Caenorhabditis elegans: one gene and its partners. The protein of the gene in region 3 purifies or fractionates together with the protein of the main gene of each other region. This does not show direct contact. Each region holds a gene or a part of one and is shown on either strand. Other genes may lie near its edges. The genes, in order: F49E10.4, nhr-112 and ZK228.3.

What was found.
Region 1: the proteins of ZK228.3 (region 3) and F49E10.4 fractionate together in Caenorhabditis elegans (co-fractionation; one large-scale study listed by BioGRID). This does not show direct contact.
Region 2: the proteins of ZK228.3 (region 3) and nhr-112 fractionate together in Caenorhabditis elegans (co-fractionation; one large-scale study listed by BioGRID). This does not show direct contact.

What each region holds. Positions count from the first base shown.
Region 1 is NC_003284.9:5,873,846-5,877,600, reverse strand, and holds the start of F49E10.4 (Mitochondria-eating protein), read right to left. Parts: upstream 1,735-3,755; 5' UTR 1,704-1,734; coding exon 1,575-1,703; intron 1,506-1,574; exon of another isoform or gene 1,378-1,505; intron 1,318-1,377; coding exon 1,198-1,317; intron 696-1,197; coding exon 561-695; intron 263-560; coding exon 108-262; intron 64-107; coding exon 1-63.
Region 2 is NC_003283.11:16,722,208-16,725,962, reverse strand, and holds the start of nhr-112 (Nuclear receptor domain-containing protein), read left to right. Parts: upstream 1-2,118; 5' UTR 2,119-2,135; coding exon 2,136-2,194; intron 2,195-2,241; coding exon 2,242-2,384; intron 2,385-2,439; coding exon 2,440-2,510; intron 2,511-2,558; coding exon 2,559-2,771; intron 2,772-2,817; coding exon 2,818-2,996; intron 2,997-3,042; coding exon 3,043-3,158; intron 3,159-3,562; coding exon 3,563-3,755.
Region 3 is NC_003283.11:18,459,349-18,463,103, reverse strand, and holds the start of ZK228.3 (YitH/HolE acetyltransferase (GNAT) domain-containing protein), read left to right. Parts: upstream 1-1,853; 5' UTR 1,854-1,872; coding exon 1,873-2,029; intron 2,030-2,384; coding exon 2,385-2,567; intron 2,568-2,757; coding exon 2,758-2,891; intron 2,892-3,127; coding exon 3,128-3,241; intron 3,242-3,755. Other genes in the region: ZK228.4 (N-acetyltransferase domain-containing protein), read right to left, coding at 133-289.

The DNA of each region.
Region 1 (3,755 bases), on a different chromosome or scaffold from region 3:
GAGCAAATAATTTTCAGATTCTCCACATGCTTCAACAATTCCAGATGAACGGCGTCAGTCATTCTGCAAATTATACATCCTGTTTTCCATCACAAGAAAAAACGAACCTAATTAATCCTGACGAGCAATTAACAAGCCCGTGGCATCCTAGACTCTCTAAACATGTTTTCAACTGATTTCTATCTTCGCGAGCTCTTTTCACCAAATCGGGACACTGCCTTCCGACAATCGACATCAAAGTGGCAATACATGGTTGAAACTCCTGAAACGAACCCTATTCTAATATTTTTCCATGTTCATTTTTGTTGGGAGGATGCATACGCCGTCACAAAAACGTTATTTGATTATCTTCTCTCGGCTCCTCGACAAGTGAGCAATTCCGCCGTGAAAAATAGCAAAAATGCATTTTGCGCAGTCTTACGCGACGTGTTTTTGCTGCTGTTTTCTGGAAAAAGCGCTCGCGAACACGAACAACTATTTGCATTTTAAACAAAAAAAAACATTCAAAAGGAGAATCCGAAACACATTTCGTTAGGACGAAAAATGACGAGAAAGCTTACTGCAAACATGGCACAGTGTTTTTTAAGTGATGAATTGCTTTGCTCACAGAATGCTGTCCACCAGACCAATTGGCAGAATAGTTGCTCACAACACAATTCCTTTGTCGGCAGAATTAGCCCATCTTCCACCGTTCGCTGAAATTTGGTACATGAAATGTTTATTGCAGACATTGTATAATTTCTAAATGTACCAAGTTTTCCTTATTAGTCAGACTGTTGATATTGTTAAAAGCTGCTCATGTTGTGCTTAAATGTCCAAATGCTTGGTTAAGCTTTTAAATACACTTTTGAAATTTTTATGAACAGTCAAAATGTGGCGAAATCTCACTTTTTACCAATTATAATATTGGTAATCTACCAAAAATAAATTTCCTACGAGTTTTAAAATATAATTGTGTTTTGATTGATTGAAATAAATCATTCAAAGGATTCAAACCTACAGCAACGCCTGAAATTTCACAAAAAGTTCAATTTTTTGCTTTTGACAAATTGGCACCAATATTGTTCACAAAAAATTTGACCGAAAATTTTTTTAAGTCTAAGCATTTGAAGTATTAGGTTTTTATTTAAAAACTGAATTCGTACAAATATGCATAATGCGACTCCCAAGTTAAATTTTTATTACTGACTCCCTCACCAATTCACATTTCAAATAAATCGCTTCCAGCAGTGGCAATGTGTACGGAATCTCCGAGACGAGTTGTTCAACCGGTGGCAAAATGTTGAAAAGAACGGACAAGTCATCGGTGTTCTGTGCCTGCAAGTATAGTGACGTGCTGCTTTGAACCTGTGAAATACATCTAAGCCGTTCGTTCCGACACCGACGTAAGCTTGCGTGCGACTGAGTTTGCATTACTGATTATTTCGCACGCACCGGGATAGTAGTGCCCGCCGAGCAAATGATCAAAAAGTGATGATCAGCTAGGGTTAATTTGATTAGGTGATTAGGAATTGAATGTCAAATAAACTTCATGAAAAGATTCTCTTCCTGATTATTCAGGTTTTTCTACTTACTTGCTCTCGCAGATGATTCAAGAGCTGGACATCTAGCGGTTCCACTTGGCAAGTGTATTGAATCAAATTAAGTTCCTGTCGTGGTGGTTTAAAACTCCATCCAGCTGATTTGCTGGTTTTGTGCGCCATGCATAAAGAATTTGGTTTGCAGCTCCCTTTCTATTGTTTTCATTGTTAGGTTTTTTGGAACAAGTGTGTGAAAAATGACGTTGAAAAAGAGCGGCACATTGATGAATCGCGAACAAAAAAAGCAACAAAAAACAACAGACAATGAAAAAGGAGACCGCTCAAGTGTGTGCAAGAAAAAAAATGCAATTAATTACTTCTCAAGTGATGGTGGAAAGGGAAAAGAGAACATCAAATGTGTGAATGATATCAACATACTTACAAAGGGATTACTGTAAAGGATGCTTGAACTGGAAGAGAAAATAATAGGATATATATTTTCTCACCTAGAGGAGAACGGCGTATTCTCTACTTCACCATAATTATACAGACAATTCGTAAGTGGTGGTCATCTGAAGAACTATGACTTTCACCAACGGTGAAAACGGGAAGAATTGGGAAAAGATGCGTGAATGGAAGGCAGTACTTCAGAAAGAATATAAACAAAGTTTTGCAGATTTTATCTGTGCTCCAGAATTAGTTTCTCGGAAAGGGTTGGAGCAGAGTTTTTAAAATGAGTGAGGTATGCAGAGCTAATAAAATATGACATTACATATGTGATACACCAAATACTACCTCATATAAGACCATCAGTTTTTTAGAATTCAGAGAAAGGAAAAATTCTGGTAGATGCTAGATGATCCTAACATCAATGATATGCGGAATGGCACTGTACATCTAACGACAACAACAAAAAAAGAAGCATCTCAGAATATCCGGTGGCTGTGAGAAAATGGTTGGCCGGCAGCAGCCGGATAAACATGTCGTCGACAATTTTGCGTTCCCCTTGAAAGCGGGGAGACGCGCGTTTTTTGAAACTTGATACGGCAATTAGAGGTGCCAATAATGAGATACTGTAGCTGAGGCTGCCCGTCGTCGCGCCTGTCAGGATTTGTTTGTATTGTTGCGTCTGGGAAGCCAGAAGCTTGGCAGGCAAATGACTGCAACATGGACACACACACAGAGAGGAGGCGCTGCCGTACGGAGGGAGAGAGGAAAAAATGGTTGATGAAGGCGGCAAAAAGGATGGTGGAAGCAAAAAAAAGGCGGGGCGCCATCCGTACTGGCGTACTGACACGTGTTACATGGCAGGACCTTGTACACTTTGTATTCTCGTTTACTACGTCTTTTGTCCGTTTTGACTAGAAATCAAATCGGACGCGAAATTCTCACACAACAAAAGGTGCCCCCGTTGAAGGTGTTGCTGAATGGCGCGGGATAGGATCAAGCAGTCAACGGAAGCAGAAATAGAAATAGTGAGAAATGGGAAGAAAAGTTATTGTGTTGTACGCGTGTTTCGATTTTTCTTTTGAGTCTACTACAGCCCCCCCCCCCCCCCCCCCCCCCCCCACACGTTTTGTCCTTTCGATAGTAATTTCAACGAGGTCAGTGGTGTTGAGCGGAACGAGGTCAGTGGTGTTGAGCGGGGGTATGAATATGAGTATTTCTTGGTTGAAAGAAGCTTTCTTGATGTTGGTTTTAATTGAATTACCCTCCACACCCCCACTGATATCTGTTTGTTCTCGCTTTTCTTAGAAAAATACAAGAATAGAAATGAAAGCAGAAAACGTTTTTTAGGCTGAGGGCATGATAAAATGTTTAATATTCTTATCTTACTTTTTTGATATTTTTAAAATCATATTTACATATTTACATTTTAAAATCATATTTCTATAGATATTGAAGTAAGTTTCTTTATAATGTTCATTTAAAAAAATTGCACATTTTTCAAACTCAAAATGTCATTAAATAAAAAATATTATAAACAATCTTATTCAAAAAACTAATCAAAATTTTATTTATAAAAATTTGATATTAACTAGATAAACACAATGAGATTTTTTTTCTTATTTTCCTATACATTAAAATAAAACCACAATTATTCACATTCTCAAAAAGTAATTATAATAAGCGGACATATGACTTTCACTTTAAACTTCAGTTGACAATAGCTGGATAAAGAAATTTGCCATTACAAGCAATTACAAGCGGTTGCCCAAAATATGTAAAGTGATA
Region 2 (3,755 bases), 1.7 Mb from region 3:
GATCGCTATTTTACTTTTAACTCTTTTTTTTTAGTCTAAAAAGTCACCTGTGGAAAATTTCTAAATTTTTTTAAATCTCAGACTCTTTTGTACTAGTTTATGGTATTAATTGTTTTTTTTTTTCGTTTTTTTTCTTCATATTTTAAATTAGAATTTGAAAAAGTATTTTTCAAAAAACTTGACTGGAAATTCAGAACTGATTTTTATTCAAATACTTTTAAAGTAATGCTAATTTTTGTTTTTTTGAATACTTTCCGGGAATTAAATTTTTAACTGGAAATTCAAATTTTAGGGTTTCAAAAAATCTGGCCAGAAATTAAAATTATTATTTCCAAAAAGTTTTTGCCTGTACATTCAAATTTAGATTTATCAAAAAAAAAACCATTGGCGGGAAATTCGATTCTTTTCAAAAAAAATGTATGAAGTTCATATTTAAAAATTTTTCGAAAAAAATTTTTGTACGAAACTCAACTTTTAATTTTCCAGAACATTTCGGCTGGAAATTCAATTTTTTTTTCTAAAAATTTTCGCGAAATTTTCATTTTTATTTTATTTTAACTTTCTGCAGAATTTCAAATTAAACACTGTTTCCAGAAGGTTTTAGCAGAAAGTTAAAAAAAATAATTTTTCCAAAATACTAACAAAATAAAATTAAAATTGTTCAATATTTTTGAACTTCAATATTTCAAAATTTCGGCGGTAAATTCAATTTTCAATTATCAGAAAATTCTGTATTATTTTGCAAAATTCTAGAAAATTCTAAAAGTATCCTAAAGTGTTTCAGAATGTTCTGAAATTTTTTAAATGTCCATACTCACACTTATTTTTTGTCAATTTTGCACGCCACCAGCAACCTCTTGTCGTTTTTCCTGCAAAAGTACCTGCGGTATTTTTTCACCTTTTTCATAGATAAAAACGGTTTAAAAGTGCACCACTTTTTTCTAAAATTACTATGTTCCTTTTTATATTGATTGCTTTATTTGATTATGTGTATGTGTTCTATTGGTATTTCATTTCTTACACGATTAACTAATCGTATCAAAATAAATAAATAAATAAATACATTTTTGAATGATTAATTTCATTCCTCAATTTCGTAATATTGCATTGCACGGTGACCATTAAAACACAAGTGCAACTAAACAAATAACGACAAAAAAAGCACCGAAAATGCACTGACTCATCATGCCCCGACAGACGACACGTTGGCAACGCATTTGTAGACTTTTAAATTGGACGGGGAGTCGTACATTCATTTGATCTTTTGTTCTACATTTTTGCGGGATGTAAATATTTCGTGTTTTGCGCGGTCTTTGTCATTTTGCGGCTGCATTGTTCAGAGATCGTTGCAAATATTTCTTATGTGATTTTGTAGACCGAAAATTAAAAAAAAAACTGTTGCTATAGAACAATTAATTAGGAAGGGCATACCTACCGTATTTTTACTATTAAGTATGAACTCATTACCGCCGAAACCGGGCATTTACAAATTTTTTCGTAAAAATCTGAAATCAGCGTCGGATTCAGCATCCTAAAAATCCTATGGAACTACAATTTCGGTCAAAACCATCAAAAATTGGGAGAAAAATGGCTTACAATTAAAAAATCGAATTTTTTTCTTGTTTCCTCCGAATTTTTGAACTATCTAGATGAGATTGAAGTAACATTTTTTCTTACGCTGAATCCGATATAAATATTAGTTTTCCACAAAAAATTCAGACATGTCCTAAAATTCTAGAACGAATGAGGGATCCCGCATACCGGCCGGCCTTTGCCATCACAGCTCGAGGAGCTTGTGCAGTTTGTTGTAAAATCAAAGGCTTGGTGTTAGCACTGCTTAGTGCGATTGGTGTAATTTATCAACGTCCGACACTTTCGGAGTTCCGCGCCACACTATACAGAGGACGCCGGCTCCTAAACCCAAGCCCTGCGTTTGTCCCACAAGTCCCTTGAGATAAGCGGGTGATATGTCCTCGATCAATGTCGGCTGCGCATTTACTATAAGATCTTTAAAGACTCGTTGCTCAGAATTATGCTAACATTGGCAAATATTCCTTGTTTTGCTCAACGATCTCTTCTCTGAGATGCATTTGCAATCCTAATCCGATCAACTTTCAGAGCACTTCTCTCTCAAAATGTGCAAAATCTGCGGATCTTCAGAATCTGAGCCCCACTTTGGCGGGACTTCATGTCGGTGAGAGACTTTTCCCGTAAGCCCAAAAACTAGTCAGAATTTTTCAGAGCCTGCGCTGCATTTTTCCGCAGATTCTATCACTCGAAAAAGCTCGGCTTAAAATGTACATGTAAAACCAGGCAGTCAAATGCTCATCCGTGCCGAAGTTGCAGGATCCGAAAGTGTTATGAAGCTGGGATGACGCCGGAGAGTAGGTTTTGAAGATTTATAGTTATGCTTTAGTTTTTTAACTACTCGAATTTCAGAGATCCAACTAACCAGGGACAAGCATTTGAACAGAACTATAAAACTGGAAGGCCCATGCTCCTCGTTAGATGTAGGATTTAAAGCTTAAAAGCGGCCCGAAGAATGTACTTATTTTTAGACTCCGATAACTTCCCGCCAAACACCAAACTTATATTGTGTTCTATCAAACTGGCACGAGTTGAAAATGACTAGAGAAGAAATGAACAGTGGATCTCTCAATAATTGCAATATTTTCGAACTCACTAGTTTTGTGCTAAGAGATCTTGAATTGACGTGGCGGATGGTTAGCAAGGCCTTCCCAACTGTAGAAGTACTTGAGGACAGGGATAGAGTAGGTTTGACTTTGAAGTTCTTCGCTCTAAAAACTGGAATTCCAGCAAGCTCTGTTACGGAACTTTGTGCCAAAATTATGGCAGATTGAGCCAATCCTCGAGTACCGGGAGTGTGCTGAAAAGTTCGATAATCTGGAGGAAGAGGATTATGAAAATTTGCTGGTTGGGTTTTATGGTGGAACATTTCCAGAAGGGAAGGAAATGTCTAAATCTGAAATTGTTAGGTAAACCTTCAAAAAATGTCGGCCATTAAATGCGAAAAGTTTCCAGTAACTTCCGGCCATACTGGGATTACTACTACACAAAAATGATTCTTCCGATTTCGTCAATGGGGCTCGAAGAGCTTGAATATATGGCTATCGTTTGGCTGGCGTTCTTTGATAATGGTAAGGAAAAAATCGGAAAGTTATGAAGGTTCTGAAAATGATCGGAACGTTCTGAAAATCGCTAGAGGTGTAAAAACAACTTTGGGATTAGCCAACGGATTTTCTGGATGGTTTTATAAATGTCTAAAAAAATTCTGAAAAGATCTAGGAACTTCTGGAAAGACTTGGGAAGTTCCAGAGGCTTCTGGACACTTGTACAAATTTCTGGAAAGTTTACAACTCATGTAAAAAGTTCTTAAAACTTTTGAATTTCTCTGAAAATTTCTGGCATGCTTAGAAAAATTGAAAAAAAAAACTGATTTTTGGAAATTTTTGAGAAACGACTTCTAATTGTTCAAAATAAGTGTTAAAAAATAAATCAAAATTCATATTTCCTCAACTAGGATAACTTTAAAAATTTCCAGGCTACTCAAACATATCTGACAATTGCCTCGAAATGTGTAGGGATATCCAGAAAGTGATACTCAAGGAGTTGCGAAACTATCAAATCGATAGGAACTTTCATGAAAATCGTTTTTTCGTTGCCTTAGAGGCTTTGCAAATCATTGAAAGAGGAGAGAAGAAATTCATGGAGGAGATGTTGGTGTGCGAGATGAA
Region 3 (3,755 bases):
TCTAAATTGTATCAATTTGATAAAATTCGAAAAATTTTAAAATTTTCGATTTTTTGAAAAAAACAATTTTTTTTCAAAATTCCCAAAAAAAATTTTTTTTTACAAAATTCCAAATTCTTATTTAAACTTTACCCTTTTCTTTATCAATAACCGTAACAAACCAATATCCATCATAACTCGTAGAATAAAATCGATAATCATACGCTTGATGAGCCCAGCCGTTAGTTTCTGCGGCCAAGTCGATGAGCTGGTCGAAAACTTGTTGCGGTGGGTTTATCACTAACTCCATTATAAAAAACTAGTGGAAAAAACTGAAAATTAGAAAAAATAATGATGAAAAATACAGAAAAAATGAGCAAAAACGGATGAAAATTGACTATTTTAGGAATTTTCGAAAAAAAAAACGATTTTTTGAAATTTTGAAAAAAAAATCAATAATTCTTAAAATTTCAATAATTGCCAATAATGTGCATAAAACTACTACACTCGTAGCTTTTATCGCAAAAAAACTGAAAATTTCATCATTTTCCCCCCGACCAAAATGGCAATTGTTTCAATGAATTTCCCCTTATTATCACTAATGATAAGAAAATTAGTGATTTGATTTTTATACCGTCACTTTATTGTAGAAAAAAGCACGAGAAAAATTGGAAAAACTGCTAAAAAAGTTTGGAAATCGAATGACTTTATATCCGATGAGAGTGTGATAATATTGTGCAATAGTGATCGAAAATTGGGTAATCTTAGCGAAACCTTAGTGTTTGAACTGATAAATTAAGCCCAAAGTGAAAAAAAAGTAGCTAATACTGAAAAGGTTGAAAAATAAAAAATAAAATTTCAAAAAAAAACAAAACTATCTAGAATTTTCCGAAATTTTACACTAAACAAGTTCAAAAAAAAAACCGAACAAAAACTATTTACCTCTCGGGGACTCGAACCCCGGACCCATTTCCCCATAGTCATCCCTCTACCCACCTGAGCCACTTCGACCCATTTTTAAATTTGAGAAAACTAGTGGTATGCTGGGTGTTTAAGCATTAAAATTTCATGGAGAATCTGAAATTTGGGTTGATTTTCTGATCTGGAAACATTGGAGCAAATTATTTGCTCATGTTCAGAATTTTTTGGTGAAAAATACCTAAATTTCCAACTTCTGATCAAAACTTTTTTGTTGAATAAACTCGCAGCTCCTAACAAAAATTAAATACCCCACCGGGGACTCGAACCCCGGACCTCTGCCCCGACGCCATCCCTCTACCCACCTGAGCTAACGCGACCCATTTTTCCAAAACTTTCAAATTTGAGCCCGCAAACTTAAAACTCCTATATCTCCGTGATAAGTAGGGATATTAAAGTAATTTTTGTAAGGTATAATAATGAGATTTCTATGAGAAAAAGGCACATTGCATCACTGATAAAATGAAAATCACGAAAAATTGCACAATCTCTCTGATCATTGCAATAGTGTGTAAAGTTCAAAATATCATCACTGAATCTTTGCACTTTTTTCCCGCAATTTTTTTTTACTTTTTCTATGTTTCTTCTGTCTATAGCATTTTTTATCAGTTGGTCAAAGGTCACCGATCACATAAAATCTTATCATTGTATTAGATCTTTTCGATGATTTTTTTTTTCTGATTGTGAGACTGATAAGGGCAAATTGAGTCTAATGATCACTTTTTTGTAGTTTTCAACGATTTTTATTTGTTTTTTCATTTATTTTGAAATTTTAAATTTTTTGCAAAAATTAGAATACAAATTTTTGAATTTTTCGAAAATAAAAAAAAATTGAAAATTTTCTAACATCTTTTTTTCGTTTTTTTTTCTCATATTTCGTATCACTTTTTATAATATTTCAGAATTTTCACCACAATGGAATTAGTAATAAACCCACCGCAACAAGTTTTCGACCAACTTATCAACTTATCTGGGGAGCTCAATGGCTGGGCTCATCAACCATATGATTATCGATTTTATTCGGAAAATTTTGATGAATATTGGTTTATTGCAGTTGTTGATAAGGAGAAAAGTGAGTTTAAAAACATAACAAATTTTAAAAAATTTAAAAAAATTGGAAATTTTTTATTTCTCGCCATTTTGATTTTCAACTATAAAATTCCAATTCAGCAGGTTTTCCCGGTAATTTTAAGTATAATCATGACGTATTTCTGATAATTTTGAAATTTCGAGAGAGCGCAGAGAAACGAGACACTCTAGCTGTCTGCGCTGGCGCAGTGGCTAACATGAATGGCTACAGTGTAAGGGTCATGGGTTCGACCCCCACTACGGGCAAAATATTTTTTTTCGGTGAGAGTAATAGGATAACACCAATTTTAAACTAGGAAACTGCGGAAAACTTGAAATTTCCCCAAAAATTTTTTCAGAACCCCATGAAAACTTTGTTGCTGGCGGGTGTTTGGCACGGTGGGATGCTGAAAATGAGGCTTCACTCTACTCAATTGGTCTGTATTACTGTAAGGAAGAATATCGTGGGAAAGGACACGGATTGCCGGTTTTCAAGGCGATGATGGGTATTGTGGGGGACGGAAATTGCGTTCTGACAGCTGGTGGGTCAATTTTAGCTATTTAATTGAAAATTTTAAATCAAAAAATTGAGACGGTCACAATGAGTATAATTTTGTTAATTTTTGGAAAAAAAATCTTGATATTTTTTTTTTTTTTTTTTTTCGAATTTTTTAAAACTTTTCTAATTTTCTGATTTTCACAGTTTCCTCTTACATTCATATAGATTTTCAGCAGTGGACATGTCTGAAAAGTACGCCACCACTTTTGGATTCAAGGAAATGCTCCCGTTTTGGCATATGGAAGCAGAAATTGAGCCGGGAAAAATGAGAATTTCAGCGGATTTGACGGAGAAATATGTTACAAAGGTATGAAAATTGAGTAAGAACGTAATTGTTTGGGTAATTAAAAAACCAAAAAATTGAAAAAAAAGTTTTAAAAATTTGGAAAAATTTTTTCAAAAAAATTTTCATTTAATTTTTTTCTTTAATTTTTCGAATTTTCAAAATTGTCATCACAGTTATACTCAAACTGATCAGAAAAATCTGCTCAATTCAAATTTTAACCCAATAGGGCTCTAATTCTAAAATTAACAAGTTTTCAGGACTGGAAAGAGGTGGGTGAAGCTCAGCTAGAAGCCTATGACCTAACAATTTGCACCCGAAATCGCAAGAAACTCATGAGAAACTGGTTTCAACAGGATCAGGTTTATACTAGAGTGAGTTTCGGGCAGAAAATATTTAAAATGAATCTGGAAAAAATGAGCCCCAGAATTTGTTGAATTTTCGGAAAAAAATCCAAAAAAATTTTAAGGAAATTTTTTTGTTATCTTCAAAAATTCATAACTTCCTTTGAAATATAGCAATTAAGCTAATTTTTAATACAGTTTGCAAAACATACATTAATTAACATTAGTCTAAAAAAATATTAGTAAAACCATCAAAAACTACAGTACCCCAAGACTTTTCCTGGCGGGACTTCAAAATTTTTTAGAAAAATTTTATAAATTTTTCCAAAACTCTTTTTTTTCAAAAACTATAACATTGTTATATATTATTATTATTTCAAAAACTATAACATTGCTCAAAATACAATCTATAAGCTAAATTGACATACAAATTGTACAAAATACATTTCTAAACTAAATTCAAAAACATTTTGAAACAAATCATGAAAAATTACAGTACCCCAAGACTTTTCCTGGCGGGACTCTAAAAATTTTTTTTTTTTAA